Linked DNA regions of Notamacropus eugenii. The protein of the gene in region 2 purifies or fractionates together with the protein of the main gene of each other region. This does not show direct contact. Links are inferred from orthologs where the notes say so. Each region holds a gene or a part of one and is shown on either strand. Other genes may lie near its edges.

The links.
Region 1: the proteins of MPHOSPH10 (region 2) and IMP4 purify together in Homo sapiens (affinity purification with mass spectrometry; 3 studies listed by BioGRID and IntAct, with this or other methods). This does not show direct contact. The link is inferred for Notamacropus eugenii from reciprocal best matches to the Homo sapiens genes MPHOSPH10 and IMP4.

Annotation. Positions count from the first base shown.
Region 1 is NC_092879.1:101,888,768-101,904,032, reverse strand, and holds IMP4 (U3 small nucleolar ribonucleoprotein protein IMP4), read right to left. Parts: upstream 6,972-15,265; 5' UTR 6,815-6,971; coding exon 6,812-6,814; intron 6,627-6,811; coding exon 6,518-6,626; intron 6,425-6,517; coding exon 6,341-6,424; intron 6,251-6,340; coding exon 6,141-6,250; intron 6,051-6,140; coding exon 5,918-6,050; intron 5,797-5,917; coding exon 5,642-5,796; intron 5,499-5,641; coding exon 5,404-5,498; intron 5,315-5,403; coding exon 5,241-5,314; intron 5,105-5,240; coding exon 4,995-5,104; 3' UTR 3,832-4,994; downstream 1-3,831. Other genes in the region: tyrosine-protein phosphatase non-receptor type 18-like, read left to right, coding at 1,701-1,842, 2,549-2,817, 2,902-2,929, 3,062-3,169, 3,264-3,331. UniProt on the Homo sapiens protein: Component of the 60-80S U3 small nucleolar ribonucleoprotein (U3 snoRNP). Required for the early cleavages during pre-18S ribosomal RNA processing. Part of the small subunit (SSU) processome, first precursor of the small eukaryotic ribosomal subunit.
Region 2 is NC_092872.1:150,957,757-150,973,487, reverse strand, and holds the start of MPHOSPH10 (U3 small nucleolar ribonucleoprotein protein MPP10), read left to right. Parts: upstream 1-7,716; 5' UTR 7,717-7,827; coding exon 7,828-7,925; intron 7,926-11,295; coding exon 11,296-11,953; intron 11,954-13,327; coding exon 13,328-13,482; intron 13,483-14,051; coding exon 14,052-14,217; intron 14,218-14,661; coding exon 14,662-14,803; intron 14,804-15,731. Other genes in the region: MCEE (methylmalonyl-CoA epimerase, mitochondrial), read right to left, coding at 7,200-7,254. UniProt on the Homo sapiens protein: Component of the 60-80S U3 small nucleolar ribonucleoprotein (U3 snoRNP). Required for the early cleavages during pre-18S ribosomal RNA processing. Part of the small subunit (SSU) processome, first precursor of the small eukaryotic ribosomal subunit.

The DNA.
Region 1 (15,265 bases), on a different chromosome or scaffold from region 2:
ACTGGGAGCCTTGGCAAGGTTAGATTGATCAATTCAAGCTGCACTGAGTCTGCCTCGCGGCTCTTGAGAAAATGAAATGATTAGTATATTCATTACACATATCAGATCGATCAATATGAAATTTCTATTCCTTTCTTAATATATAAAAATATCTACGTGCACAACGATGCAGCCAGTTCAAGTGCCAAATATTGAATAAATCATGAACTGACTTTTCAAAACAAACCACAACCGCCATAATGGCTACATTCATTCATAGCTCCACCAAAGCTGTGCCTGCTTTCCTACAGCCCATCCAACATATGTCATTTTCATTTTTTCTCACCTTTGCTAATTTAATGTCCCATGAAACATCAGAATTACTTTAATTTTCATTTTTCTAACAGTTATTTGTACCATTTTTATATAGAAATTGCTAGCTTGAATGTATTCCTTTGCAAACCGTCTCTGACAATTTTCAGATTTATTTCAATGCCTGTTCCATCTAAACTGGACCACAAAATGCTCCTCAGAGCTCACATTCCTCTCTTGACTCCATGTATTTGCTTCCGGGAATTCCGGCTGCCAGTTTAAACCAATCATTCTAGCCTTTTTTGGTGTCATAAACTCTTCTGGTTTTAGGTCTGCCAAAACCTATGAACCTTTTGTTACAACAATGTTTTCAAGTGCACAAAATCACATATATGGTACTACAAAAGAAACCAATTCTATTGAAATAGTTGGCAAAATATTTTCTAAAAAACAAGTTTGTGGCCCCTGCTTTAAGGCTTAGCTCAGACGCCACCTCCTCTGTGAAGACTTCCAGGCCATTGGCACTCGGTCATTTCTCACATTCCCTACTATTTGTTTGTTTAGTAAGTGTCCAAGCATTTGATCTTCCTGTCACCCAGGCCAAAATTCTATCTGCCTCTTATAACTTTACAAAATAAGGAACAAAACCTCCCATGAGAAATTACACAATGAGCTGGCCATTTTGGGCCCCATGGATTGGACCAGGGGCCAAATTCACAGAATTTGTGAAGTTTGGATTCAGGCAGAGGGCCGCCCTTGAGGACTTAGAGGGCCACATGTGGCCTCAAGGCTGCAGGTTCCCCACCTGCATTTGGACATTTGGACATTTATGGCTGCTGCTCAGGTCCCCCTAGTTCGAGAGCTCAGGGTGGGAGGTGGAGATTACCAACAGGTGGAGATCCTTAGTGGTCAAGCTTTAGGCTAAGAGGGAAAGACTCCTGCAAATCTGGTGGGAAACCTGATCTGGGTCCATGAATTCATGGGGGTGGGGGAAAGGACTTCAGCTCCAGGATCTGACTGGACCAGGCCCATGTTCTAGGTCTTGGCCACCGTGCTTTGGGAAGATGCTTGTAAAGTGCTAGGCACGTAATAGGCTCAGAATAAAGGTTTGTCCCTTTCCTTCCTCCACCTCCCCACCTTCTCCTCTGGAGTACACTGGTACTGCCCTCAGCCAGGACCATAGGGCCGCTGAAATTTTCTTGTTCCAGCCCCTGCCCTGCTCTTGGCTCCTGGCTTCCTCTCCCCCAGAGGCCCCAAATGGGAGTGCTGCTCCCAGGTAGTTGTGTCCCGAAAGCTCTCCAGCTTTCCCAGGCCAGGCCTTCCTCTGTCCCCCTGACTGCCTTGAACTGCCTCCTCCTCCTTTGAGCATCTCTGCCATCTGTGGAGAAGCTGCTCAAGCTGAGGCAGGAATGTTGGAGGCTCGGGTCACGTCACAGCCTGGGCTGGGCTTGGCTAGGCATCACTTCCTGAGACGAAGCTTTGGGGCCCAGGAGTCTCACTCTCCCTCCCAGCCTTGTCTTTCCTTCCCTGGCAGCTTCTCGGGGTTACCAGGTACAGCTCCCCTTCCCCAGCTATCCTGTTCTGTTTCAGTTTGTGATGGGTGGGGTAACTTAGTACCTCTTTCTACCCACCAATCCCTGTCCTCCCTGCCCCCCATGGCACCCGACACTTTCTCTTCCTCCTGAAGGTTGCAGCTAGATCTGAGTTAGAGGGAGGCCCCATTTCCTTCAGTGCTTAGCCCCCAGGCCTGGCTCTGCAGAGATGTCTCTAAACTACTGCCCTGCCCTCCCCCATTTCTAGGGTCCCTTGGTAGGTACAGGAGAGGGGGGCTTCATCTTCTATCACCCCAACCCTAGAGCCCCTGGGTACAATGGAGGCCCAACTTCCTAGTTTTCTGAACCCTTTCAGTTACACTTGGTTTGAGGTGGGAAGGTCCTGTTTCCCTGACTCTCCCCCCCAATTCTTGAGACAGTAGGATGAGGACAAAGCCTGCATTCAGGTGCCAGCTTGGCATTGGACATGTGCCTTCCCTTCTCACTGGCATCCTTTCCCTCTCTTAAAGGAGAGCTGGCTACATGCCATCTGACCTCTCAATGCGGGGTTGGTGGTCCATGCTGCTGCTGGCTTTAGGAGACAAGGGAAGAACTTTCCGCCTGCCTCTTGGCACTGATTCCTCCTAGGGGTCAGGGTCCTTTACCTGCCTTTCCACCCAGGTGGCAGAGGACAGAAGAGGGTGCTTTCAGCTCCCCATTCTTAGTTTTCTTTCAGGTTCTCAGTGCCAACCAAGTCATGGCTGCAACGTATGCCTCGGTACAGAAGCGAAGCCACGCTCCAGGCCCTGCAGCAACCTGTGAGCCTGCAGAGGCAGAGCTCGAAGCGGCTGTGTATAGCACTGTCAAACCCAGGGCCCTTAGGGGTGGGGCTGGGACCCCCACAGAATACACTCCGGTGGCCTTCCCCAGCTCAGCAGCCTTGGAAAGTCCCGCATGCTCCTCAGCAGGTTCTGGGAGGCCCTTGCTGTCCCTGGTAAGTGGCAAAGCTGGGGAGCAGGGCCATGCTGAGCAGGGCCCCACCAGGCCCCCTCCAAATACCTGCCTTCCTTTTCCCTAGGTTGTCGCACCCAGCACTGCAAGGAAAGGTAAGTATGGGACAGTAATTTGGAGTTGGCTGGAGGTGAAGACCAGTTGAGGCCTTTTAGGGGCTGGGGAGTGGGCAGTTCCCCAGGCACCTCAAAGCTTTGAACTGGGCTTCCATTGGATCTTGCCAACAGCTAGCACCCCCTCCAGGCACTGCCCTGGGCCTGAGGCCTATGAGGATGTAACAGACATTTCAGGTCCAGGCTTGGGTCCCAGCAGCCTCCAGCCCAGCACCACTCTTGGTGAGTTGACCCATAGATCACATACCTTTTCCTTTGCCATCTCTCCCACCCTCCCACACCTTCCTCAGATCTCAACCCTTCCTTCTTCCCATAGGCTTCAACATTCGAATTGGGAAACCAAAAGGTCCCCGGGATCCTCCAGCTGAGTGGACTCGAATGTAGGAAGCCTGTGAGAGTCCTGCCTTTGTGCCTGGAGCCCAGGCCCATTAAAGCAAACAGAGGGTGGCAAGTGGGAAACCAAATTTGAGTTCCCTTTTCACAATAAAGTTTTCCCCATCCTGAATGAGGTGTCTGTCCTTGTAGCCTTTTCAGTGCTTTTGGGTCCCGGGCCTACGTATACATGAATGCCCATGCCAATGGATCTTGGACTTGCGCCCTACTAAGCAACTATCTAGAGCTTGTGCCTCGGCGGTGACCTTGTAGAGTAGACATATGCCCATCCTCCCACCATACTCTGGCCTGACCTCTGAGATGTAGTTTTGTGGGTGGCCCTGGCAGGGGCTGATTTCTCCTGTTCCTGCCTAGGCCCTGAGCCTGTCCCAACTACCATCCCCCCTCCCAATCCAATAGCTCTGAGCATTTGATTCACAAGAATTTTCTGGTGTCTGTGCTTTGGCCAATGGCTAGCTAACATGTTTATATATGACCCAGACAAAAAAAAATAGAGGGCATGCTCATTAAATTAGCAGGTTACACTGACAATGGCCCAAGATATCTTGACAAGCTTCAGTACTGGACAGAATATAAAGAGGAAATTCGAGAAAAATAAGTGTAATCTCTTACTTAGGTTAAAGAAATATCTCTGCCCCAAGTACAAAATGGAAAAAACAGCTTTAGATAAGCAGTTTGTCTGAAAGAAGATGAAAGGGTCTTAGTGTACCACAAAGTCTACATAAGTACTCCATGTTGGGATGTACAAGAAAGCTGAGCTTCCAGGAGCTCATTGACTGCAGAGCCCTCTGGCCTTGTGAAGGTACAGCTAGAATACTACATTGAGTTGTAAGCCTGGTTTTTTAAATAGTGAGTTTTATAAAGTGGAAAGGGTGCGCAGGAAGCAAGCAGGCTGGAGAAGGCCTCAAGTTAACTTCCCAGGAGGCTGAAGGAAATGAGAATGTTTAACTTGGAGAAGAAATGCCACAAAAGAACTGGATTTGTCCTGCCTGGCCTTGAAGAGCTGAACTGGGAACGCTGAAAGAGCAGAAGTTTAGGTTTAATGGGAGAAAATCTTTTTGAAGGGTAAAAAGTCTCTAACTGGAACAGGCTGCCTTGGAAAGTCAAGAGCAACGACCCTCATTAGGGAGGTTCAGGGGGGATTTACCTATGGATGTGGGCTAGTCTAAAAGGCTATACTAAAAAAATAAAAATGAACACCCCTCCCCACACCAGGCAACCCTTCACTAACTCCTCTCCTAGGCTGTATGAGGCTGAGATCCTGAACTCAGACCCCAGCTGTCCAAGATTGAGCCTTGACCCAGAGTAATGGCTCCATAGTCTTAGGTTCCTGTGCGGAGGGCAAAGCCATTGTTTTCATCTGGCCCTGAGCTTGTGACCAAGAAAATGGCTCCTTGGGGCTCCCAGTGTCCACTGGCTTCTGTTCTCCATTTAGAGAGCCCTTCCTGTGTCCCCACCCGGAGAAGTTTTCAGTGCCCACTACAGGAAATCCAAAAGCCATGAGTATGAGGTCCCAGAAATGACAGGTGCAGAAGATGGGGAACTTTAACAACAGCAAGAGTTGGCTTCTCCCCAGGTAAGGCAGGTTTCCTCAGGTTTTGTCATGGGCTGTGGTCCAGTGCATGCTCTGGTACTCCTTTTTAGAAATCCTTTCCTAGATGCTGAGGAAGGTCCTCTTTCGGGCTGTGTGAGTATATGGGTGCCAGCGCCACTCCACATCTGCTGTGGCTTCATGCTCTAGTGTGCCTAGGCGGATCATGTACACTGCAAAACCAGAGAGAGGAATGTGCTTGGGTCTCAGGCTGAGTCAGGCTTAATCTTTCCTGACTTTGGCTGTTTCAAATTTGGACCCACATGCTCAGTTCCCTGGTCTGTTTTCCCCAGTATTCTTTGTACTCACATTTCATCTCAAATCTGGGCCCAACTTCTGTCAGCTCCACTGTGTTGTGATCTGGCTTCCGGTACACATGATGCCTAGAAGGACAGAAGGGATATAGATAACTTTGGCCCTTGGGGACATAGCTACCTACCTTTCTGACCTCCAGAGACAAGCCCAGATTTACCGAAAAGAAATGTAGTCATCCTGGTTAGCAAAGGTAATGACTCGGTGGCTATCATCCTTGGGTACTGGGAAAAGGTATCGGAGGATATTTGAGACCTGGGGAAGGATAACATGCTAGAGTAAGGGTCCTGATGAGGAAAACAGTGCGCTTTCTCTTCTCCCCTTTTGTGTTGCCAGAGACCATCCCCTTGATTATCAACTGTCTGTTGAGGTGATAGTTCTCTAGCCCCAGGACTTACTCGCTGTCCAAGGTGGGAAGAGAAACCATGGAAGATAAGGTGGGGAAGAGCCTCTGAAGCTGTACCAAGGTCAGGAATGTCATGGCGCATCACCACATTACACAGTGTGAAATATGCAGTAGGCCCAAAGGGCAAGTGGCTCACAATGAGGCCAACTGTTGGGAAAGACAAAGATGTGCTAAGTATGGAATATATTGAGGGAGCAAAAAAACTCCCTGAAACAGCTTCCCTCTCCTGATCCTCCATTGGCCACTTGGGCCCATCCCCTGTGCTTACCTGGTGTCCCTCGGTGCTCATGCACCAGCAGCAGATCTGTGACTCCATTGGCTTTACAAGCATGGACAAGGGCACCCATTTCATGTCGACCCCGGTTCATTCTGGTAGCACCAGGGAATATCAGCTTCAGCTCCTGGGTGAAAGGATCAGAAAGGACAAGAAGTAAGGCATTGGGATGGATCTCATCATCACATTTCCCTGATATCTACCGTCACTTGCTCACCTTGACAAACATCTTGAGCCGGGAGCTGGGGTCTCGAGATGTGGTGATCATGATTCTAGGGTCTTCTACACCTGCCCATCGGTATTCGTCGTCTTGGTGACTCAAGACACCTTTGGGAGGAGGAAGAAACAGAAGCGATCAATGACAGCTTCTTGGAGATCCTATGAGAAGGCGGCCCCACCCCTGGAGACTTCTCTCACCTTCCCCTCCAGCGCCATCAAACTCCAATGCCCTGTGGAGAGTCAGGGCCTCCCTTCGCACCTCCGTCGGGATCGGCTGATCGTCTGGAGGAAAAGGGAAGAGCCAGTGAGAAGACAAGAAAAGAAAGACAGGCGGGGGAAGGGCTGCAGGTCGGTGGGCCCGTGGCCTGGCCCTACCTTCCAGGGCTTTCTGGAGCCTCAGTTTCTTTTCCTGCAGAACATGCTGCTTCTTCTCCTGCACTCTGCGGTACAAATACTCCCGGCGCAGGCGGGCCTCGCGTCGAAGCTGCCAAGGGATTGTGGGGAGGGGGGCATCGCTAAGCCCCAGCGAGGCACTTCCCCCTCCCTCAGTCCCGCCGCCTCCCCAGTCTATCCCTCCAACCCTCAGCCAGGGGCTCTCCGGCCCAGGGGCGCCCTCCCACCCCAGGTGCCGCCGGCTCCCCACCCACCCCACCGATCCCCAGCTCGGACCATGCCTGCAGGCGACCTCCGATTCCCGTTACGAAAATCTCCTCGTGTGGTGCCCGAAGCTCAGCGCGCTTGCGCAACCCCACCCTCCCTTCACAGGCAGGGAGCGTGGTCAGGCCGAGTGCTGGCGGACCAATCCCCGCAGTCTTGGCGGACCGGAGGGAGGCGGGGCCCCAGGAGGGAAGGCCTCGCGAGAGCCAGTGAGTTCCGGTCCCCTTCACCTAGCCTCGGCCCGCCCCCGGCGCCAGCTTCCGCTCTGCTCCGCCCGGGCCGCAGGCTGGATTCCCACGCCCTCATTGAAGATGGCGCTCTTCGCGAGGTGGCTGACGGGTGCACGCTGATTGGCTGGCTGCAGAGGAAGGGGCGGGCAGCCGGTGGAACCCTTCTTTCCCTTCAAGATCTCCGCAGCTCTGCTGATGGCTGCTGAGGTTGCTGGGCTCCAGGGCCGAGTCCCGTCGGGAAGATCCCAGATTCAAGTCCTTCAGCGTAACAAACAGAAGCTGCTTGATCAGCGGAAGGTGGCTTGGATACGCTCTCTAATGTGCGGCGTCCAAATCCATGTTTTAGTCTTTATTTCATGCTGCCAATTGCTTCCAGCCCTTGGCTCTTCCTTACCCTGGCCTCTTCCTACCTCGTTTGGGAGGTATGGAGGCTACCAAGCTCAGTCCCCTTTTCCTGACATTTAAAAAGAAAAAAAATGCCAGCACTGTTACAGAACCAGGCAAAATCACACAGTGGGTGGAGGTGGCTGGAGGAAGGGATCACCAAAGGGGTGCTAAAGTTTGCCTGCCACAAAGCTAGGAAAACCATTTGTCAGGAACGTGAACAATAGATTGGTAGACCAAGACCCCTGACAGAACAGGCACATTCCGCTGTTTGTTAAGCCACAAAACACCAAGAGGAGGGGGGCAAAGATCCCCCAACTTCTACGAAAAGTGTAGGGAGAACTAGAAAATGCTGGCAGCAGTTGGGCTCAGACTAGTGGGATTTGCATCCTGTAAGCCCCAAATGACTTTCTGACCTAAATACCAAAGTATCCCCTCCCCACAAACCAGCTGATGCACCTTTTGATATTGCCACTTGAGGAGAGAATTCTTTTTATTTTTCCTCATGGCATGGTACTTATTTTTATTAGTTTGTTTTCAGTTTTCTACAATCACTTCTATAAATCTTAGATTTTCTTCCCCTTACTTCCACCTCCTTCCTCTCCTCCTTTCCCACTCCCTCCCCAAGATGGTGTGCAATCTTATATGGGTTCTACACATACATTCTTAGTAAATACATACTCACCTTAGTCATGTTGCATGGAAGAATTAGAATGAATGGGAGAAACCATGAGAAAAAGCAAAACAAAACATAAGAGAAAATGGTCTGCTTTGTTCTTTGTTCCAATTCCATAGTTTATTCTCTGGATGTGGGAGGTATTTTGCCTTGAGTCCATTGGAAATTATTTCAGTTGTTGCATTGCTGTGGAGAGCTAACTCTACCAGAAAAACTCCTCGCACATTGTGGTTGTTACTGTGTACAATGTTCTCCTGGTTTTGCTAAGGAGAAAATTCTTAAGTAAAATGTAGTATTATAGAAAGAAAGGTCCAAAGTTCTCCCTTGTCTTCTACCGCTCAAAAACCCCTTCACTCTTATCTGTGTGCCCTTCTGTGTTTGATTCTCTTGGCTTCTGGGACAGACAACCATTGTCAGCCTAATCTCTAGAGCTTATCCCAACCAAGTGAGGCTGGCTGGGACTGGCCTTCCTTGTTCCATAGTGGCCTTGGCCAAGCTCCAGGGCAACCTGCAGATGCACCTCAGCTGTTTACTGTTTGAATAAATATGGGCTGGAACAGGGAGTCAGCTTGTGGGGCTTGAAGGAATGAGCTTAAACTCTTGTAAGAGTTTTTCCAGCAGACAAAGGAATTCATTGAACAAAACTTGATTTGGTGACCATTAACTTTGAGGCTGAGGATACCTAGTGTTGGTCATTATTGAGTTCTTTCTAAAAAGACATAAAGAAAATTAAGCTGTGGGTGTGTTTACTTATCTGAAAGCTTGTGGAATGTACATATAGAGATACAAATGGGAATTCATTGTAGACAACAAATCCAAAGGTGGGCAGACAAAAGGGACCTTGCCTATCTTCAGAGCAATTTCCATTAACTCCTTCACTCATTCCTCCCTGCCTTCCTGACTCAGGATGCTGGTGCCAGCCCAAATTATAGTATCCATATGTGTTAACCATAATATGAGAAAGGAATTTCTTAAGTGGATAGATTGTAAATGCAACATGATAGGAGAATGTCAAAATATCAATTGAAATTATGGATCCAGACTATGCCCAAAGGGCTACAAAAATGTGCATACCCTTTGACCCAGCAATATCGCTACTAGGACTATATCCCCAAGAGATCATAAAAATGGGAAAGGGTCCCACATGTACAAAAATATTTATAGCAGCACTCTATGTAGTTGCCAAAAACTGGAAGTCAAGGGGATGTCCATCAATTGGGGAATGGCTGAATAAATTATGGTATATGAATGTAATGGAGTACTATTGTGCCATAAGAAATGATGAACAAGAAGACTTCAGAGAGGCCTGGAAGGACTTATATGACCTGATGCTGAGTGAAAGGAGCAGAACCAGGAGAACTTTATGCACAGCAACGACCACAGTGTGTGAGAGTTTTTTCTGGTAGACTTAGATTTTTGTAATAACACAAGAACTTCTTACAAAAAAAAAAAATCCCAATGGAGGATCTCAAGGCAAAATGCCTGCCACACTCAGAGGGAGAAATATGGAAGTCACTCACATATTGTAGCAGATCATGTTTGTGTATGTGTATGTGTTTGTGTATCATGTTCTGATTTGTTATACGATTTCTTTCATTTATCTTAGTCTGACTACATAGCATGACTATAGTGAAAATATACTCAATAGGAAAGTATATGTAGAATCTATACAGAATTGTATGCAGTCGTGGGGAGGGAGGGGGGTAGTGGGGAGTAGGTGGGGAGGGATGAAATTGCAATTGTATGGCAGTGATTGTTAAACATTACAAAATAAAAAAAAAAAAAGAAATTATGGATCCAGGATGTCTGTTCCTTTTATCATCATGATGTAATATAATATGTCCGTAAAAAACCAAGATAAAAAAAGTCCCATTATTCAAGATGCTGTCTGGTTCAAAGTACTTGGACTGTGGTTGTCATAAACAGGAGGAGGCACTTGCTTGGCTTCATTTGGCCTTGGAGTTGCTAACACAGGAAGGGGCATTTTGGGTTTGCCCTGAGAGCAAAACAAAGCATGTCTGTTATGCCAGAGAACACAAAGCATTATGGTAGGTTAAACTCAGAGTGGGCCAAAATGTCTCTCTTGATTGGTAAACCTGGGGGTTTTAGGCCTTTCTCAGGTCTTGAGGGTTCAAAATGGTTTGGGGAGGAGTCCACATGAGGTAACTAAGAAGGTTGAAAAAATGAAAGTATTGTGGAGTTCATGGATAGCAAGCCTAGGTCATGGGGGAGAGGGGGTTGGGTAGCTGGTGTGTTTTGTGTTCCCTAGTATGAAGTTGGAAGTCCTTGGAGAGGAAGGAAGGGGGAAGGTGCCAACACTTGTGTTGGCTGACAAGCTTGTATCATGGGAATCACAAAGGAGGAGAAGTTGCTGACAAGGTTGTAGGGGGTGGGGGTGCGATGCGGTGTTTCAGGGGGACCAGTGCCTGTGATGTCAGGACTTGCTGACCTGTTTTCAGAGCTGTTCACCTGCGGTGTTCCCCCCACTCACCTGTGGCACCAAGAAGCTGCAGCCATATCACGGTATACTCATCAGATGGGCTAAACCAGGTCTCAAAGCTGTCAGTGAGTTAGGACAATTCTAAAGAGGGATTCGCACCCAGGTCTTTATCACACCAATGTCTCCTCCCATGAGATGCGGAGGACACCACAGCACACAGGAAGACTTCGATTCCAACTGCCACTCTGGGCAAGTGCATTTGCCTAAATTTTCCCTTCTGTAAAATGAGAATACTGTAGCACCTGCCTCCCGGGGTTGCGAGGGTCCAATGAGATCATATTTGCAAAGCGCTTAGCGCATAGTAGGTGCTTCTTTCTTATTTTAGTGTCCCTGAGTCGGGCAGTGGAGTGATGAGCCCCAGCTCGAAAGAGACTGGAATGCTGTCATTGGGTGCGCCCCGCGAAGGCCCGACTGGGCGCCGGATCACCGCATGGCCGGGCCTGGCCTCAGTGACCTCAAGCTCGGGTTGGGAAGGCTGAAGAAACAGTGGACGCAGGCCTTGGAGCTACGTGACAGTACACCCAAGAACCTGTAGGGGGAGTTGTGAATCACAGCACTATAGAAAACACTACATACACAACCCGACATAACACACCACCTTCCCATATGGTCTAGCGGTTAGGATTCCTGGTTTTCACCCAGGCGGCCCGGGTTCGACTCCCGGTATGGGAAAGATGCTTTAGACTTTTTTATTTTCGGAGGCATCCAAGCCCCCCTGGGAGGACCCGGGGCGGACCCCACTTTGAGGCTTCACTGGCGGCGCAGTAGAGCTTGGGTCCAGGTGAAAAAGAGGGGCAGGTGAAACCCAGAGAATCCCTTCTTGGAGGAAGGGTAACTGAGGCAGAACGCGTGTCCGGACTGGGGTCGGGAGAAAAGAAGGGGTGGCAGGAAAAGAAGGCCACCCCAGGCTCATGCTGGGAATTGAAGCAAGCTGCCTAAGACGTGTCCAAGGCCATAAAACATTGCAGTCAAGCCGACCTCGTTGGAACATTCTCATCTGTAAAATGGGCCAGCGTTGCTCTCAACCTCCTGCCCTGGTTGTTGTGAAAGAGTGGAAAAAGCAGGCCCAGGGCCGGGGCCGGCTTTCAGAAACGTTGACAGCGCGGAAGGAGGAGGTGAAGGCACGTAGACCTTTCAGGAAAGTGGAGCCCCACCTCCAAAAGCACGGCCCCACCCCCCCAACCCCAACAGCAAAACTGGAAACATACACTTCCCACACCGGGAGTCGAACCCGGGCCGCCTGGGTGAAAACCAAGAATCCTAACCGCTAGACCATATGGGAAATATAACGATCCTGAGCAGCATATAGAAGATACATAAAGACTCGAGTAATCTGGCTCGTGTAGGCGGCAGGTTCCGCACCGCCTCCTGCTGGTGCCGCAGTGAAAGAACAGTACAGGCCCGGGCCCAGGCTCGGCAGCGCCCCCTGCTGGACTAGTAGTGACAGGACGTCCTGGCTCCCTGGCTCCCTCCCTCCCTTCTGCCCTCCTCCCTTCCTTCTGGTCCCCCCCATCCTTGCCTCCCTAGGGCATTTGGAGCACTCCAGGCCACTGGGAACTGGGCCTGACCTCAGGAAGCCCCAGTTCAAATGGCTCTGGCCTGAGCTGATTAAGGCCACACTGATTAATTAGCCTGCTAAGGGCCCCGCCCTCTGGGTGCTCACCATCTGATGGGGGATGCTGGCAATGCCGATGAATCCTGACTCTTTGTGGCCCCATTTGTGACAATGGCTGAAAAGGAGCTCAGAATGCCTCAAACATGGTGCCCTAAGGGCAGTTTGGGAGAAGAAAGGAATATATGTTGAATACTTGGGCTTTAATGGTTACAGCCAGTCCTTGATGCTTTCTCTCTGGGCTCCCACAATGCCCTTCCACACTGGTTGTAGAACAATGATTTCTTGATTCATGGGAATCAGCCCTCATTCTGGGCCTGCTTCAGGAGCAACATTCGGACTCACCTCCTTGGTCAGTCCCCCCCTGCTCCCACCTGACCAAGATTGGAATATGGTAAGAGCCCAGAAACAGTCAGGATATTAGGCTGGAGATCATGCTCCCCAATGCCTGCCTGTCACAAATGAAGAAACTGAGGCCAGAAGGGACAAAGTCAGGATGCAAATCCACATGATCTGGGAGGTTATCTGGGAGAAAGTTGGGTTGGTCAAGTGGCTGAGGCAGAGTGCCCTTCAAGCAGACTGTGCTTCCTTGTCCTTGGTACAATGCCAATTTTGTGGCCCCTAGGCCTTCAATGCCTCTACTATCTATGGTCATTCTCAAAAGATAGCCCCTGATGTCTGCACCTTTATATTGGCAAGATTTGTGCCTCAGCCGAGGGGCTTGGGGCTCTACTTCCTGCCCTGGGATCCCAGCTTGTCCTCCCCTCTCCCTCCAGCTTCTTATCTTTTACTCCCGGAGCACTACCATTGCATGGCAGACAATGGCTTGGGCTTGGACTCTGGGAATACTGAGATTCCAATGTTGTGTCATTTAATCTGATCTTCAAAAGACAAGTTTCTCACATCTTGAGGGTCATTGGGGCTGGTCCTCTGGGATGGACAAGGGCAAGGATCCTCCGTACAACACCTCCTGGGGGGACGTTCCTCACATGGCAAGCTCAGCTCCTCCAGCAGCTTTTCTGTACATCTGCCCATGCTGTTCCTAAGTCAAACATCATGCGCACTCCATGTGACTCATGCCATTTTCCCTCTTCAGACTACAAGGGCTCAGTTTCCCTATTTGAATCTCCTATGACCCTTCACCCTCTAGAGCTTGACAGCTTATGAAGTTCTTTCAGAAACTCTGAAGCCCAGAACTGAACAGCTGCCCAGGTGTGTGGTATGAGCAGGGATGCAAGCTGACCTCTCTTGTCCTGGATCTGAGGCCTCTCTCCTCGAAGCCTGGGATCAAATTACCTTTCTTCAGGCCTTGTTCTTTCTCTGCCAGTGATCACATCTTTCTCTGCCTTTTCTTGGCTCTCCTCCTACTTCCCACCCCACAGTTTGTATGCTAAGTTATTCTCTTTTCTCTCTCAACACCTACCTTTGGTAAGCCAAGTCATCTCTTGCTCCTACCTCTTGCCCCCTACCTGGCCTTTCACCTTGTGGTTCCACCTGCCTGCTGAACACACTCTGGAATCACAGGAACTGGGCTCCAACTGTGCTGTCCTTTGGGCAAGGACCCCGCTGCCGTCCACCTCATGGCTCTAGCCTTTGAAGCGCATTCCCTTCAAGATCCCTGAGAACTGGAGCCTACTGCACTGCTGGCTTGACCTTGAAAGCACACCTTACTCATGGCAGCCTCTGCATTCCCAAACCTTCTCCCCTGTGGCTAGAAAGAGCTTCCTCTCCAGCCCCAGCCAGGCCTTGTGTGACATCACTGAAATGAGGCTAAGCTCCCGGTCCTCAGCTTTTCCCATCTGATCTCGTTACCTCTGACCTTGCATCCCACCTATTTGTCTAATTTGTTCTCACTCAATGGACTATATGGTCTCTGAGGATGGAGTCCATCCATCATTGATACCCTGGCCCTGAAGGGCTTAATCAGCAGCCCTTGAATACTGTCAAAGAAACAATGTTTGTGTCCCCTTCCTCAGTCTTCCTTCTGTCACAATTGAAATTTAACAAAAGGATAAACTGAGGCAATTCTCCAAGCGAGATAACCTTTTATTAACAGGTACATACTGCCTGTCAATAAAGGATCACAGATTTGCCTCCATTTATGCCAAACAGCCCAAGCAAAGGAACAGGTCCCGTTATCTTGGTTCTGGGGAGCACAAAGAACCGAACAAGGTAGATAACCTCATGGGATTGAGGCAGTGTGACTGACTGGAAGTTTGGTCACAGGGGCTATCAAGACCCTCTTTCTTTTCTCAGGAAACTAGGGTGGGGGTGAGGGAGACTAGACAAAGTGACAGAAAGGGAAAGCTTGGAGCTAGCCAAACCCTGGGGCAGGGGAGAAAAAAGGAGAAGAAGGGGTTGTGCTCGGAGCTCAGTCAGGTGTAGACAAGTCATCTAGCCACTGGGCTCCTTTCCCTGACCTTGGGTGTCACCAACCTCTACCCTCACTTTCACTTGCACTAGGTGGGGTCTGTGCCTTCAGTCCTTCCCTGGATGGTGAAGACACTATGCTGTGACCTTCAACCTCCTCAAGGGGCCCAAAGCCCTGCATTCTCCCTGAAGCCCTGCCTCCTTGGCCCCAGGCCCTCAAGCCTTGCCCTTGTTCATTTAGACCTGGGGTGCCCGCCCTAAGCACTTGAGCATTCTCTCCTCAATTGCCTGTTCTTTAAGCCCTCAGTCTCTCTGTCTGCTGATGTGGGTGGAACTTTTCTGTGCCTTGGCAAACCTGAGCTTTCCCAGCCTCACTTTTTGGCATCTCGAGAGAGGCTGAGGACTAAAGGTGCCTTTATCCTGCCAGTTACTTACCAGCCCTCTCTGCCTGAAATGCCCCTACAACGCATGGGGTAAATCCTTATTTTCCACTTGGTTCCCCAACTCATGCAGGGCTCCCTCTGTCCAGGGCCCTACTGCCCCACTGGAGCCTGTTCTGATGTGTCTTACACATGATTAACTCAAAAACATAGGTAAAGCATGTAACACATGGAAATACATGTATTAACTTGAATAAACTGCATCAGTCACAGTGATTGTCATCATTGCTGCTGCAGTTGGCCTGGGAAAGCTG
Region 2 (15,731 bases):
CTCCCCCCCAAACCCAAGCATTCTAATTGCCCCTGTGACCAATCTGCTCTCTCTTCTATCCTCCCTCTCTGCCCTTGTCTCCGTCTTCTCTTTTGTCCTGTAGGGCCAGATAGCTTTCTTTACCCCTTAACCTGTATTTCTTATTTCCTAGTGGTAAGAACATTACGGTTGATCCTAACACTTTGAGTTCCAACTTCTTTAGCTCCCTCCCTCTCCACCCCTTCCCTTTGGAGGACAAGCAATTCAATATAGGCCAAATCTGTGTAGTTTTGCAAATGATTTCCATACTAGTTGTGTTGTATAGGACTAACTATATTTCCCTCCATCCTATCCTGTCCCCCATTACTTCTATTCTCTTATGATCCTTTCCCTCCCCATGAGTGTCGACCTCGGATTGCATTCTCCTCCCCATGGCCTCCCCTCTATCCTCCCCCCCACCCTGCTTCTGCCCTTGTCCCCCACTCTCCTGTATTGTGAGATAGGTTTTCATATCAAAATGAGTGTGCATTTTATTCTTTCCTTTAGTGGAATGTGATGAGAGTAGACTTCATGTTTTTCTCTCACCTCCCCTCTTTATCCCTCCACTAATGAGTCTTTTGCTTGCCTCTTTTATGAGAGATAATTTGCCCCATTCAATTTCACCCTTTCTCCTCCCAATATTTCTCTCTCACTGCTTGATTTCATTTTTTTTTAAGATATGATCCCATCCTCTTCAATTCACTCTGTGCACTCTGTCTCCATGTATGTGTGCGTGTGTGCATGTGTGTGTGTGTACTCCCACCCAGTACCCAGATACTGAAATGTTTCAAGAGTTACAAATATTGTCTTTCCACATAGGAATGTAAACAGTTCAACTTTAGTAAGTCCCTTATGACTTCTCTTTGCTGTTCACCTTTTCATGGTTCTCTTCATTCTTGTGTTTGAAAGCCAAATTTTCTTTTCAGCTCTGGTCTTTTCATCAAGAAAACCTGAAAATCCTCCATTTCATTGAAAGACCATTTTTTCTCCTGAAGTATTATATTCAGTTTTGCTGGGTAGGTGATTCTTGGTTTTAGTCCTAGTTCCTTTGACTTCTGGAATATCCTATTCCATTCCCTTCGATCCCTTAATGTAGAGGGTGCTAGATCTTGTGTTATCCTGATTGTATTTCCACAATACTTGAATTGTTTCTTTCTAGCTGCTTGCAATATTTTCTCTTTCACCTGGGAATTCTGGAATTTGGCCACAATGTTGCTAGGAGTTTCTCTTTTTGGATCTCTTTCATGCGGTGTTCTGTGGATTCCTTGAATATTTATTTTGCCCTCTGGTTCTAGAATCTCAGGGCAGTTTTCCTTGATAATTTCATGGAAGATGATGTCTAGGCTCTTCTTTTGATCATGGTTTTCAGGTAGTCCCAGAATTTTTACATTGTCTCTCCTGAATCTATTTTCCAGGTCAGTTGTTTTTCCAATAAGATATTTCACATTATCTTCCATTTTTCCAATCTTCTCGCTATGTTCTGTGATATCTGTCTTTCTCATAAAGTCCTTAGCATCCATCTGTGCCATTCTAGTTTTGAAAGAACTATTTTCTTCAGTGAGCTTTTGAATCTCCTTTTCCATTTGGCTAATTCTGCTTTTGAAAGCATTCTTCTCCTCATTGGCTTTTTGAACCTCTTTTGCCAATTGAGTTAGGCTAGTTTTCAAGGTGTTAATTTCTTCAACATTTTTTTGGTTCTCCTTTAGCAGGGAGCTGATCTGCTTTTCATGCTTCTCTTTCATCCCTCTCATTTCTCTTCCCAGTTTTTCCTCCACCTCTCTAACTTGATTTTCAAAATTCTTTTTGAGCTCTTCCATGGCCTGAGCCCATTGGGTGGGCTGGGACACAGAATCCTTGATTTCTGTGTTTTTGCCTGATGGTAAGCATTGTTCTTCCTCATCAGAAAGGAAGGGAGGAAATGCCTGTTCTCCCAGAAAGTAGCCTTCAATAGTTTTATTTCTTTTCCCTTTTCTGGGCATTCTCCCCAGCCAGTGACTTGACCTCTGGATATTCTCCTCACACCCACCTCGCCTCCTGGTCCTCCCAGCCAGCATTTGGGGACTGAGATTCAAATGCTGCTTCCCGCCTTAGGGCTTTTGGCGGGGGCAGGGCTGCTATTCAGTGTGAGAATTAAGTTCAGGTGGTCAGGTCGGGGCAGGGCCACCTCTCAGGCTCAGTTCCCTCAGGGGGTTTATGCACAGACCTTCCACAATGGATCCAGGCTCCTGCCCGCTTGGGGAGCCCCTGTCTGCTGCCGCCTCTCAGCTTCTATCTCCCGGGGGGGCCTGAAATATGGGGGCACCCCACTCCCCTCTCGACCCGCCAAAGAGACTCTCTCACCAACCCCCGTCACCTGTGGGTGGAGGGGCTTGTGCGGCCGCTGGAGATCCCGTCCCTGAAGCCTGCTCGGTTCTGTACCTCTCGGAGCCGCGGCCGCCGCAGGTCTGGGCTGGGTTCTGCGTCTGTAGCGTGACGGACTTTTTGCGAGAGGTTTGCAGGTCCCTCTGTGGGTGGAGGGACCCGCGTGGCCGCTGGAGATCCCGTCCCCGTAGCCCGCTCGGATCTTTTCCTCATGGTGTCACGGCCGCTGCAGGGCTGCCCTCTGCTCCCAGTCCCGGCGCCCAGTCCGCAGCGCGAAGGACCCCCCGCGAGAGGTTTGCAGGTCTCTCCGGAACAGAAATCTCCCTCGCTCCAATATTCCGTGGCCTCTGGGTGCAGAATTCACCGTGAGTTGGTCCCCTGTAGCCGTTCTGTGGGTTGTGGGTTCGGAGCTATGTGTATGTGTGTCTTTCTACTCCGCCATCTTGGCTCCGCCCCCTGTACAGTGGAATTCTGAGGCTAAAAAGCACTAAAACAGAATGGAGTCTTTCTTAAATTCCATTCTATGTTCTTTAGTTACTGAATTACCGAAAAGGGGATCATAATGATCTTCATGTAGAGACCATATAACATAGCCAGTTCCCAAGGACAATGAATGGCCTGATGAAGTCCTGGTGTGTTGGGGTTTTAAAGTTAGTCTTATAAATATGTGGACATATCCAATCAGGCTGATATTTTCCATCACATTATTCTGTGGAAGACTGCATGAGCTCTAACTTTCTCTACTAATATCTATATCAAAGGAATAGCAAAATGATAAGCTAGCACACAGCAAGAGAATTGGACAATGTGCAGTCTTATCTGTAGTGGCTACAAAAATGGCTCATGGGGAAAACAGGCTGGTAAAAGTTTTTTTTTTTAACTTAGCAGTTTCTAAAATTGTTCATAATACTGCCTTAGGTAGTTCCATGCATCTCCCCAGTTGCCTTGCCTTGTCATTTAATGCTAGCCACAAGTGGTACTAAAAATCTAGTTCACGCAAGACTGGATTTCCCATCATTTTAATACATACGTTACTAAATCAATTCTAAATGATTCCTTCCTTTCCCAAATTCTTATGCATTGATATTTCACCTTTGCCACACACTTAATCACATCCTAACTTCTATGACAGTTTTGTGTATGAGAGGCAGCATGGTGAAGTGGACCCAGTGGTTGTCATTCATACCACAGTACAAAGGTCCTATGCTTGGAACCATAAGTTAGTCAAACCAGTGGCTGTGATTAGTATAAGTCAAGGCTAGGATTTTTCATTAGAATAGGGGAATGAACAAGGTAAAAAAAACCAGGGCAATTCTGGAGCACGAGGGCAAACCTGGAAGGGATCAGGGACATTACGTAGATGGTGGCAATAGGACGCTGAGCATTTGGAGAAGAAAGAAGCAGAAGATAGGAAAAGGGTTCAAAGAAGGAAGAAGTCAAGACATACTTTGCAATTTTACTTAACACTGTGGCAGTAGGTCTTATACTACTGAAAATCAACTCACACGGTGCCTATGGATGCCAATGCCTGAATTAAGATTAAAGACTAATTCTGAAGACTGCCAACCTCAGCCTTACCTAGGTTGGCTTAGGTCTCCATTTCAGCTCAATACTTTCCTGTCAAAATAACAGTTGCTCCTCTGTTTGGAAGAGGAAAAAGGAAAAAGGAAAGGAAAAAGAAGAAATGCAGAGTCATTTATTCCTCAAATACTTATTAAATGTTATGTCCAAAGCATTGTCCTTCATGCCAGTGAGGTATAAAAAGACCATCTAAAATACAATTCCTACAAAGAGCTTATATGTACCCAAATACAGTTTAATAGAGAAGTTCAATGGGAATTCAGAGGAAGAGCTGCTTCACTGGGGAGAGCTAAGCCATTTGAGCTAGATACTGAAAGATGGGTAGGAATAATGTGTGGAGCTGGCAGGGGAGGGCAATTTAGGGAGTAAATGTGAACAAAAGTGTGGAGAAGTAGGGAAACGCTCAGATGGGGTTACGTCCAGCTTGAGTAAAATCTGGCTGAAGGAGAATGAAGAAGCCTGTCTGCACTTACTGCCTCCACCTCTGTTCCTTTTACGCTTTTCAATTCCTTTGCAAAACGGCTTCTGTGCTTATTATCCTCCTTAAGCTACAATGATCCTTTACGGCCAGACTGGATGACCCCTTCTCAGTCTTCAGTCTTCTTGTTCTCCCTGTACCATTTGATACTCTCTCCTGTCTAGGTTTCGGTGAGACTCTTCTCTCTTGGTTCTCCTCCAGTCTGAACCCTCCTCACTTTCTTTCACTGGATCATCATCCTAGTCACACCCCTAATTGTGGGTGTACCCCAAGGCTGGGTCCAGGGGCCTTCTGATTGATTTCTCTCTTTAATCTCTCACTTGGTGACATCTTCATCTCCCATGGGTTCAAGTATCATCTCTGTGCAGGTGACTCTCAGATTGAGCTAGAGATTCAGCCATGGTCTCTTGAGCTTTAGTCCCACATCACTAATGGCCCTGTTACCCACTTTGAATTGGATATCTCAAGGACATTTCAAAATCAATTATGTTCATTACCTTTCCCCCAAATACGTCTCCCTTTCCCAAACTTCCCTATTACTGTTGAGGATATTATCATTCTTCCAATGACCCAGGTTTATAACTGGAGTATCATCTTAGACTCCTAACTCTTCCTTGCCCCACACATTCAATCAATTGCTAAATTTTGGAATGTTTATCCTTACATCTCTTGAAAATGACCCCTTCTCTCTACTCAGGACCAAGTTTTGATATTTGTTTCCTCTTCCCTGGACTCACATAATACCCTAAATGGTCTCTCTCCCCACCCCAATCCATCTTATATACAGTACATAGCCCTCCATTCAACAAATCATGTCTATTACCTCTAGGATCAAATCTAAATCCTGCTGGGCACTTAAAGTGTTGTACAAGCAGGCCCTTTTCTATCTCTCCAATCTCTGTGCATAGTACTCCCCTCCATGTAATCCAACCTTACCCGCTTCTGTGCTGTTATTCACATGAGATTTCCTCTACTGTTACTGTCTCTCACGTTCTCCCTCATACTTGCCTGCTGGTATCACCAGTTTCCTTCGACTTATCATAAGCACTACATTCTGTATTCTGCTCCCTCTAACAGCTAATACCTTTCGATTCAAGGTTGCCTTGAGTCTGCTTTATTTGTGTATAACATACACCCACATGTTGCTTTCTTTCTAGTGTAAGCTACTTGAGGACTATTGGTTTGTTTTTGTTATTGTATGCCAGCTACTACCACAATTCTAGTTTATTTAACAAATTACACACAAATATACACAAACCTTGAGTGCCAGGCTAAGCATGGCCTTTATTCAGAAAGTAATTTGGTGCCTTTGAAGAAATGTTTTAGTTAGAATAATTGTGCAGTAAGTGGTTAGAACCCCTTGGAAGCGGAAGACATAGAGGCAGAATTTAAGTTAGGAAGTAGTTATTAGACTGCGAGCTCCTTGAAAGCAGGGGCTGTTTTTTGCCTTTCTTTCCCAAGTGCTTAGCACAGTGGGGCAATTAGGTAGTGCAGTGGATAATCTGCTAGGCCTGAAGTCAGGAAGACTCCTCTCCCTGAGTTCAAATGTGGCCTCAGACACATATTAGCAGTATGATCCTGGGCAAGTCATTTAACTCTATTTGCCTCAGTTTCTTCATCTGTAAAATGGGGATGATACAGCGCTTTACCTCTGAGAATTGTGAGGATCAAATGACATAATTGTAAAGCACTTAGTATAGTGCCTGGTACATAGTGTGTTGGTCCTTTGTTGCAGTAGAAGACCATGCCATCAGAGAAAGAATGACATGACTTGCACTTGACTTTGTTTTGAGTGAGGGACGGCTGTGCAGGTCACCAGCCTCACTTCTCCTCCAGAACCATCTGAATCCAGTGACCAGATACTCATCAGGATGACTGGAGGTGACCCAGGATGAGGCAATTGGGCTTAAGTGACTTGCCCAAGGTCACACACCTAGTGAGTGTAACTCAGGTCTTCCGGACTCCTGCACTGGTGCTCTATTCACTGTCCCTCCGGTACACACCAGTGTATGAATGTTAAGTTACTATTATTAACTTCTGTGAATGCAGCGTGTTCACCATCTTTAGGTACCATCGTAGATGTTCTAGAAGCTTTGGATCTGTTTCTTTTACAACTTTATGGAGTATGAGCTAAAACTGATCATTTATTTTATTGGAGTTTAAAAAAAAAGAGTCAGTTTTAAAAATTCAATTTAGAGTGAAAGAACACACTTTGAATGCCTTCTCTGTTTATGTTTTGTTTTCTGAAGGCCTTCTTAAATGACCTTTCCCCAAATGACTTAATCTCCACTGCCTCTGGGGATGGCAGGTTGGCACAACTGGCATTTCCCTGCGTGTCTGCCCGGCAGGAAGCACCAGGAGTAGGACTGTGTGTCCTCAAACGCCCCCACCCCTTAATAAAGAGTCCCGGTCCAATCCACGATCGCTGAACGCGGATAAAGGACTTTAAAATGTTCAGGTTTGCTCGAGGGCGTTGGCGCAGGGCCCCTGCTGCCCTGGGCTGGCTTCATACAGGGAGCCCGAGGTCCTGGGTTCAAATTTAGCCTCTTACCATTCACTACCTGCCTGACCTCCTTAAGCCTCTGTCTTCTCACCGGTAAAACGGTCTCTTCAGCTCTAAATCTTCCCCGTCACCCCCGCCCTGTCTGCGGAGGGCCCTCTACGTCCGGCCTCCTAGAAGCGGAGGCAGCTCTCCTGAGCCTCGGCCCGCACCGCCCACCGCCGCCCGCCCGGGGCTCTCACAAAGTCCCACAAGTCCCACCTGCAAGCCGCACGGCGGACAGCGCCCACCGGACCACCTTCTGCACATGCGCCATCTTCCGAGGGGGTGGGTTCGGTGGGTGCGTGGAGGAGGAGGTGGCTGGCGCGCGACTTCGGGATTGGGCGGAGTGGCGCGTCTTAGGAGAAGGAGGAGCCGGGGAGGAGGAAAGGGGCGTGCCTTAGGAGAGCGTGCGGCTGCTGCGGTGGGTGGAGTGACTTCGAGGAGCCCGGCTCGGCTGTCTGTGATAGGTCGAGCTCCGGCGAGGGCTTTCAACTCCAACTTTATTGACAGCCTCGCAGAGAACAGAGTTCAAAATCAATCTGATGACCATTCCGCACTAGTAATAGGTTTTTCTAATAGCAGACTCTCCACCCAGCCTGATAAACAGTAGTGGACCCTGTTAGGAACCGTTTCTCAATGACTTCCCTCAGGCTCTCCTTCCTGTCGCGCAGGCGCGGCGGCGATAGGCCGCGGACTGGGGTCAGAGCGGGAGGGCGGGGCCTAGGAACTTGTGTGTTGCGGAACCACCGTCCCACAGTCGGAAGTTCCCTTGGGCCGGCTCGGCTTCGTAGTCGAGCGGCTTCCGGAGTTTCCTCTTCCGCTCCATGTGAGATCTGGACCGGCAGAGATGTCGAAGAAAAGTTTACGGGGCCGGCGGCGGCGGATCCTGGATCGCTGCCTGAAGGAGCTGGACACTCACACGGCTCATCCGGAGCAGTTCCTCACGTAAGCATCCCGTGGTGCGAGAGCTCCGGGCGGAAGGCGGCGTGGAGGAGGCCACGCCACGAGGCCTCGGCTCTCGATCTCGCCCCTGCCCAACGGGCTCATCCGGGGTGAAGGGAGGGGGAAGGATGGTTTCTCTTGGTTACCCCGGCGTCGCAGTCCGCTTGGAGGTAACTTTTGGAGCGCTGCCTCCTTACGGCTCCAGACGGTCCCCACCAGATCCCTCGTGACCAGGAAAGGCAGAAAGACAGCCCCTGCTTTCCGGGAGCTCACAGTTAATGCACCCATGCGCTGTCCACAGAGGGAGGAAGGCGTGGAGTGGCCGGAAAGGCTGCCCTGAGAAGGGACAGGGGCGGGAGGGGCGGCCGGGGAGGATGGCCGTGGTCGGGGACAGAGAGGGTCTCTGAGATAACGAGTCCCCGGGGGGAGGCCACCCGGATCGGCCAGTCCTGCTAAATATCCATGCGAGATGATGGCAGAGTTTTCAAGGTCTCATCCCAATTGGAGATGTTTGTAAAGGTCTTTCTTGTAGACCAGAAGATAGCTCGGTTCCCGTAGGTCTTGGAGTAATGGGTCCTGGGGGCAGAAAGACACGTTTGAACTCCTTGTAAGAGAGGACATCTGCTTGATAGAACTGTCTAAGAGTGGGGTAGGCTTCCCCAAAGAGTCATGTATTAGAAGGTTCCCTTGGTCTGCACGCTCTCCGACTTCCATCCTTGCCTTCTGTGACTGTCAGGACAGACCCTTCCCTTCCCTGAGGAGGCAGTCCCATAGCTAGGAGTTTGGAGAGCCTCCACTGTCCTGGAGCATGTTCTTAAGAGGGGACTTGAGATGTGACGTCCAAGGATTAACTGAAGCAAGTAGGGCTGTTTGGTCTAGAGAAGATCCAATGAGTCAACCTCAGCTGGCTGCAGCCCTTGTGTAACAGGGATTAAATTTATTTTACTTGACACCAGAGAACCAAACCAGAAACAGCAGGTAGAAGGTGAAGGGAGAAACCTTAAAAATCAGAGCTGGTCAAAGTAGGATGAAGTAGTGAGCTCTCCACCACCAGGAAAGTTCAAGTGGAATCTAGGTCCCCATTGGTCATATTGTAGACAGGCTTTCTGTTCAGGTAGAGGTGGGACTGGATGCCTGAGTGTTCTTCAGGTCCTGGGAATCTGAGCTCCTTTATAAGGAAGGTAAGAGACCTGTTATACTTTGTTAAAGCAAGCATCCTCCATCTTTGGGAGACTTAGTGGATGACCTATGTAAGAACTGCAAAGGATAAAAAGGCTTAGATGGGTTGTAATCTCTACAGTGTACAGAATCTGAACATTATTGATCCCCTTTCATAAGCCACCACTGTTTTAGTATTTTATGTTTTGCATGTTATACAAACACCCAATAAGTGCTTAGTCAGTTCTGTGCACAACGACCACAACTAGTGATTATTAGGCATCTACTTACATGCCAGGCACTATGCTAAGCAATGGAAGTACAAAGACTGTGCTGCCCTCAAGGAACTCAGTCTAATGGGGGTGGGGATTAAGAAGAGACAACATGCAACAAACAACTATGTAGGAAATAGAGATGGGTAGAGAGAACTTTGCAGGCATGGGAGGCAGCCAGGGAAAATGCATTGAGTATGAAGTGTCTTGTGTGAGGAAGAACAAGTAAGGCATAGTCACTGGATCATAAAGTTCATGGAAGGAAGTCAGGTGTAAGAAGACTGGAAAGGTAAGAAGGAGCTAGGTTATGAAGGGCTTTAAAAACCAGAGGATTTTCTATTACCTGAAGGTAATAGAAACTCACTGGAGTTTATTGACTTAGGGGGTGACTTGGTCAATTCTGCTCTTTAGAAAGATCACTTTGATTGCTGAGTAGAAGATGGATTGGAGTAGGAAAGTTCCTGAACAGATTGATTGGGATAATGGTAATAGAGGCAAGTGTGGCATGAATAACTGAATCTTTTGCTTTTCTCCAAACTTTGTTTTATTGTAGATTTTTTTTAACATCCTCCCTCAACAAACTTTTACAATAAGTTACTGAGTAGCAAAATTTCTCTTAATTTTACCACTCCAGAAAATGTAGTGGGCATGTGGTTATGTTTAATCCATTTAAAAAAATTATGAGTATACGGCTCTTTTCTGTGGGTGAAGAGTTAGAAGTTGAGGGGAAGCCCATCCATGGGGAATAACTGAACAAGTTGTGGTGTGTGGAATATTCTTGTCCTATAAGAAATGATGAGCAGGATACTCTCAGAGAAATCTGGAAAGACTTACATGGGCTGACAAAAAGTGAAATATATTGTGTGCAAAGTAACAGCAATATATTAAGATGATCAGCTATGAATGACAGCTATTCCCAGCAATACAGTTATCCCAGTCAACTCTGAAGGATTTGTGATGAAAAATGTTGTCCACCCCTGTGTTGCAGACATGGGATGGAAGCTGGGGCTCTGCCCACCCAGGGACACCAAAAACTGTTGTGGTTTCATGATGTGTTATCTCAAAGAATTCAGAGTCAGACCACCTCTGATCTAAGTATAGGCATTTATTGAGGATTGACGCCCCTTTTGAAACGGGCTGGGTTCCAAGAAGAACTAGCAACTTCAGTGAAAGCAAGATGGATTTTTTTAATAGGGTAAAGATGTAATTACACAACAGAAATTATGAACATTAAAAAGTCAGGAGGGATTTGTTAAGGGATTAGATAATGGGGAGGGATCTCTTCTATGGTTTGGTGGTCAAACATCCTGGTCTTGCAGCCCTTTATTGGCTAGCTATTGTGGTTGTGTCTGGTCAAGATAGATAGGTAGGTATTGTGGTCCTCTCCTCTGCTAAATGGATGATGTGATTATGCTTGAGATCAAGAACACACCTGTTCAAATATGTGAATTGGATCTGGGGGTGGTAGCTAGTTAGGGGCAGTATCTATATTGAGTCTGGGGGCCGTATAGTATGGTTAAAGTCAGATTGTGTGGTTAAATTAGGACATGCTTGCTGTTCAATGGGCCCATAAAGAAGTTAGATATTGGGGCTGGTGGCAGCTTTATTAGGATTCCATCACCCAAAGAAAGAACTGATGATATCTGAATACAGATTGAAGCATCCTTTTTTTAACTTAATTTTTCTTAGTTTTTTTTTTTGTCTGTGTTTTCTTTCACAACGTGACTATTAATGGATATGTTTTGTGTGACTATACATGTATAACTTATGTTGAATTGCCTGCCTTCTCAATGAAGGGGGCTGGGGATGAAGGAAGGGAGAGAATTTTGAACTCAAAGTTTTAAAAATGGGAAAAATAAAATACTAAATAAAGCCTAAAAATGTGACTATAAAAATGTTGAAGGTATTATTTTAAATTTATTGACGTTTTCTTCCCTTCATAGTGTTCAAGATGGATTGGCTGTAAATTTTATATCTTTAACAAAAGCCCTTTTTGATTTACATAAATCATTCAAGGCCGATGCAACTCTTGGGAGCCCTTTAGAAGAATTGGTGATAGAAAACTTTGATGATGAGCAGATTTGGCAGCAGCTGGAATTGCAGAATAAACCAGTTTTACAGTACTTTAAGAAAGCTGTTATTGCCAATGTTAAAGACAAGGAACTCCGTCTTCTCCCAGAGAGTGAAGAGGTTGACTCAGAGATAGACATTGACAGTGAGGAGGAAATAGAACAGGATTCGAAGCTGGAGCAAAAGTCAGATCTAGTTCATGATGGTCTTGAAAAAGACAGTAAGAGAAAGAAAAAGTTAAATAAAGTTGATATGGAGGAACGTTCAGATTTTAACGATGAGGATTCTGACCTTGACTTTGACATTGATAAACTCGAACGTCAAAACAAGAAGCCAAAAGTATTTATTAAGTCAAAAGAGAAATCCATAGTAGATGATAAATTTTTCAAATTATCTGAAATGGAGTCCTTTTTGGAAGATATGGAAAAAGAGAAGAAAGAAAAAAAGGAAGATGATGAAGATGATGTTAATTATTTTGAGGAAATTATTTCTGATGAGGATGGTGACCTATTTACAGACTCTCCAAAAAAGGTAAAGTTTTTCTTTTGTCTAGTGATTAAGTTTTGTCCTTTTCCTTTTGTGGATATTTAAAGTATCTTTAATATAAAAAGGACTTCCTTTCTCACAGTTCATTAGGACTCAAATGAATAATTCAGATATGTTAAAGCAAATAAAAATGACCCAAAAATTTTCACCAAACTCATCACTTTCTCATCCTACTTCATCTTATTCCCATAAAACCTCAACCAACCAAAATAGAAAGGTTAGGGCCTATAGCATTTAATAATTTTAAAGTACATTTAATATTTCTTTTAGTCTTGACATGGGTTTGCTTAATATTTGTTCTCATATTTTCCCATAAACCTAGTCCTTTCACACTTTGCAGTACCTGTCCGGAACATCACTTCCCTTCCAGTCACCCAGGTTGGAGACCTTGGAGTCATCCTTTACTTCTCAGCCGCTTTTATCCGACATAATCCAGTCAGTCACCAAGACTCGTCAAGTCTGCATTAACATCTCTTGGATCCAACCCATAAAGCTCCCTCCTCGTTCAGGGCCTTGTTGCTTCTTGTCTCTACTATTGTAGTGATTTCTCTGCTTCAAGTCTTTCCCTACCATTCCATCCGCTACTTGCTGCCAAAGGGATTTTCTTAAAGCACAGGTCTGACCATATCACTCCTCTGCTCTGTAAGCTGAAGGGCTCCTCATTACACTTAAAATCAACTACAGACTCCTTTGTGTGGCTTTTGAGACCTTTCACAACCTGGATCCACATCGGGGGTCTCCTTTTATATTCCCCTTCTTACCTTCTACAGTCCAGACAAACTGGCCTTGCTGTTTTCTCATTTATGATACAACACACTGTCCCCTCTTAGAGTTCACTACCTCTTCACCTCTGCCTGTTAGGATCCTTGGTTCCTTTCAAAACTTAGATCTTCTACATGAAACCTGTGCTCTCTGCTGCTGGTGTATTTCCCCTCCCTGAACACGATCTTCTATTTCTTTTGTATGTACATATGCGTAGCATATGTATACACACACATATATACATTTTGTTTCCTTAATAGATTATATGCTCCTTGAGACCAGAGACTGTTTAATTTCCGTTTCTGTATTCCTAATGTCTACCCAGTAAGTGCTTATCAATTGACCTTTGTTAAATTAAGAGATGTAGAATTCTTTATTCTCTTTTGCCAAATTTAAATATTTTTTTATGCCTAAAAATCAATGAATGATCTGTGTGCAGATCTTATAGGCTATATTTTTCTTTTACTCTTAAATGCTAATTTCAGTTAATAACTTTCATTGGAAAATAATTTTCAGCATGTAGAAAGTACTTTTAAAAAACTTATTTTTAAAGTTATTTTCTCTCCTTAAGCAGAAGATTTAAATGTTTTATTTTAGTCAGAAAAAAGTTCCAGAAACCTAAAATACAAAGATTTCTTTGACCCAGTTGAAAGTGAAGACACAGCAAGTGATAATGATGGACTGGGTCAGGATGAGGTTGAAGATGAGGATAAGGAAATGGATCATGAAGAAGAGGAAGACATTTCTGAAGAGTGAGCATTTTGAGTCATCCTTTTTAAGTTGTGTCATGTAATTTGCCCATCAGTTTTTGTCTGGTTTTAATGTGAGTTGTCATATGCTTCATTTAGGAAGGTGTTACTTTAATTTCACTCTAGAGAACCCATATGTGTAGATGGTGGGTGGAGATGGGCCAGCAATGGGGAGGGCTTTACAATAGCTTATGGTTTTGCTATATAGTTCTTTGATTTGGTTCCTATTTTCAATAAAAATCACTAATGTCAACATTGTATCATCAGTTGTTAGAAATTATGAACTATTAAGGTTGCTATTTGAATATATTTGTTTAAATCAGTGTTGAATATTAGTGTATTAAATGAATATTATGAAATCTTTTTTTAGCTATATGGGAATTAGTTTAAAATGATTCCTTCTTGATTTTTTATAAGTTTTCTTGACTTTGGAAGTATAGGAAATGTATTAGATTTTGAGGGTATGGTATATTTAAAATGGAAAAGTTTTATTATTGGAAAATATTTTTTTTTCCTTTCCTAGAAGATACATGTGAATAGTATTTCCTTTGCTAAATGTCTTGATGGTTTAGGGATGAAGAAGATGAAACTGAAGAAAATGAGAATAGACAACATGGAGCTGGGAAAAGAGTAACCTTTGCTTTGCCTGATGACAAAGAAATCCAAGACACAGATGCTTTCAGTGAAAAGAATAATTCTGATGGAGTCAAATCCTCTTTTGAACAAAGACAGGAGAAGGTAACGTATAGCCAATATATATTGTACAAAGAAGCAAAACATTTGGTTTGCAATAGCTGTGACTTGTCATTTCTCAATGTTGTTTGAGAAAATGCATTTAAAGTGATTTTAAACTTTAAAGTGGTATCTAAATGTAAATGATTATTACTATATGAATATTAATATAACATTTTCCTAACTCACTGAAATCTTCTAATGCATGAAAGTCACCCATGTGGTCATGAAGCCTGTACCTGCTCAAGTTCTGGTAGATACTGCCAAGCTGAGAAGGTTGAAGAGTAGGTCTTGTCCATTGCCTGGACTTATGCCTAGATTGACTATCACCCCTCTTAGAGGCCATTTATTAATGTAAATGGGATTGTGACCAGCATATATGGAGGCTACCCCACCAGTGAAATAAAATACAAAGTAATGAAATAAGTACTTTTCCCCTTTTATTCTCAGATGGCAGAAAGAATTAAATCTTTAGAGAAAGAGTTGTTGGAACAGAAACCTTGGCAGCTTCAAGGGGAAGTGACAGGACAAAAGAGACCAGAAAACAGCCTTCTAGAAGAAACATTACACTTTGACCATGCAGTCAGGATGGGTAAATGTTTAATGGTTTCTTCGTACTTTGATTACTTTGATATTTGTTTATGTGCCATATTTAAAACAGTATTTGATAAAGAATTGAACATTTATTTTCCAAAATAGTGAATAATATTTAACTTTACCTGTGTGAACCTTAGTATTACTTCACCTTCTTGGGCATCAGTTTCCTCCTCTGTAAATGGGAATGATTTAATAAGGCTTTACAACTATCTTGTTGTATCCTCACAACAACTCTGGGAGGTAGATGCTGCTATTATCCCTATTGTACAAATGAGGAAAGTGAAGCAGATGGGGAAAGTGACTTGCCAAGGGTAACATAGTGTCTAAAGTTGGGGTTCAGATCTTTCTAAATCCAGATTCAGTGCTTTATTGGACTGAATCTTATATGATAAGATTTGATAGAATAAGTAAGTCTTGCATCTAGGTACAAAAAAATTAGCTTCATAAGTAAAAGATGAGGGAAGTGTGGTTATACCACAGTTCTGTTAAAAGATCTAGGGCTTTTGGTGAACTGCATGGCCAGTGTGAATTAGCACTGAGATGTGGTAGCCAAGGAAGCAAATATGATCATGGACTGTATTACAAGGCATAGATTCCAGGAAGAGGGGGATGATAGCCCTGCTGCACTATGCCCTCATCAGACCTCGTCTGGGCACCAATACATTGTTTAACTGGAGAGTATTCAGAAGAGGATAGCCAGGATAGTGAAGGACCTTGAATCCGTGTCATATGAGAGTCAGTTAAAGAAATTGGAGGTGTTTAGGTTGGAGAAGAAGAAATTTGACGAGGAGATGTGTCTTCAGGTATTTGAATGACTATCATGTGGGATGGGGATTAGATTTGCTGTATTTGACCCCATAGAAGAATCAGGAGCAATACACAGATTAAAAAGAAACAAATTTAAGATTTATATCAAAAGAACC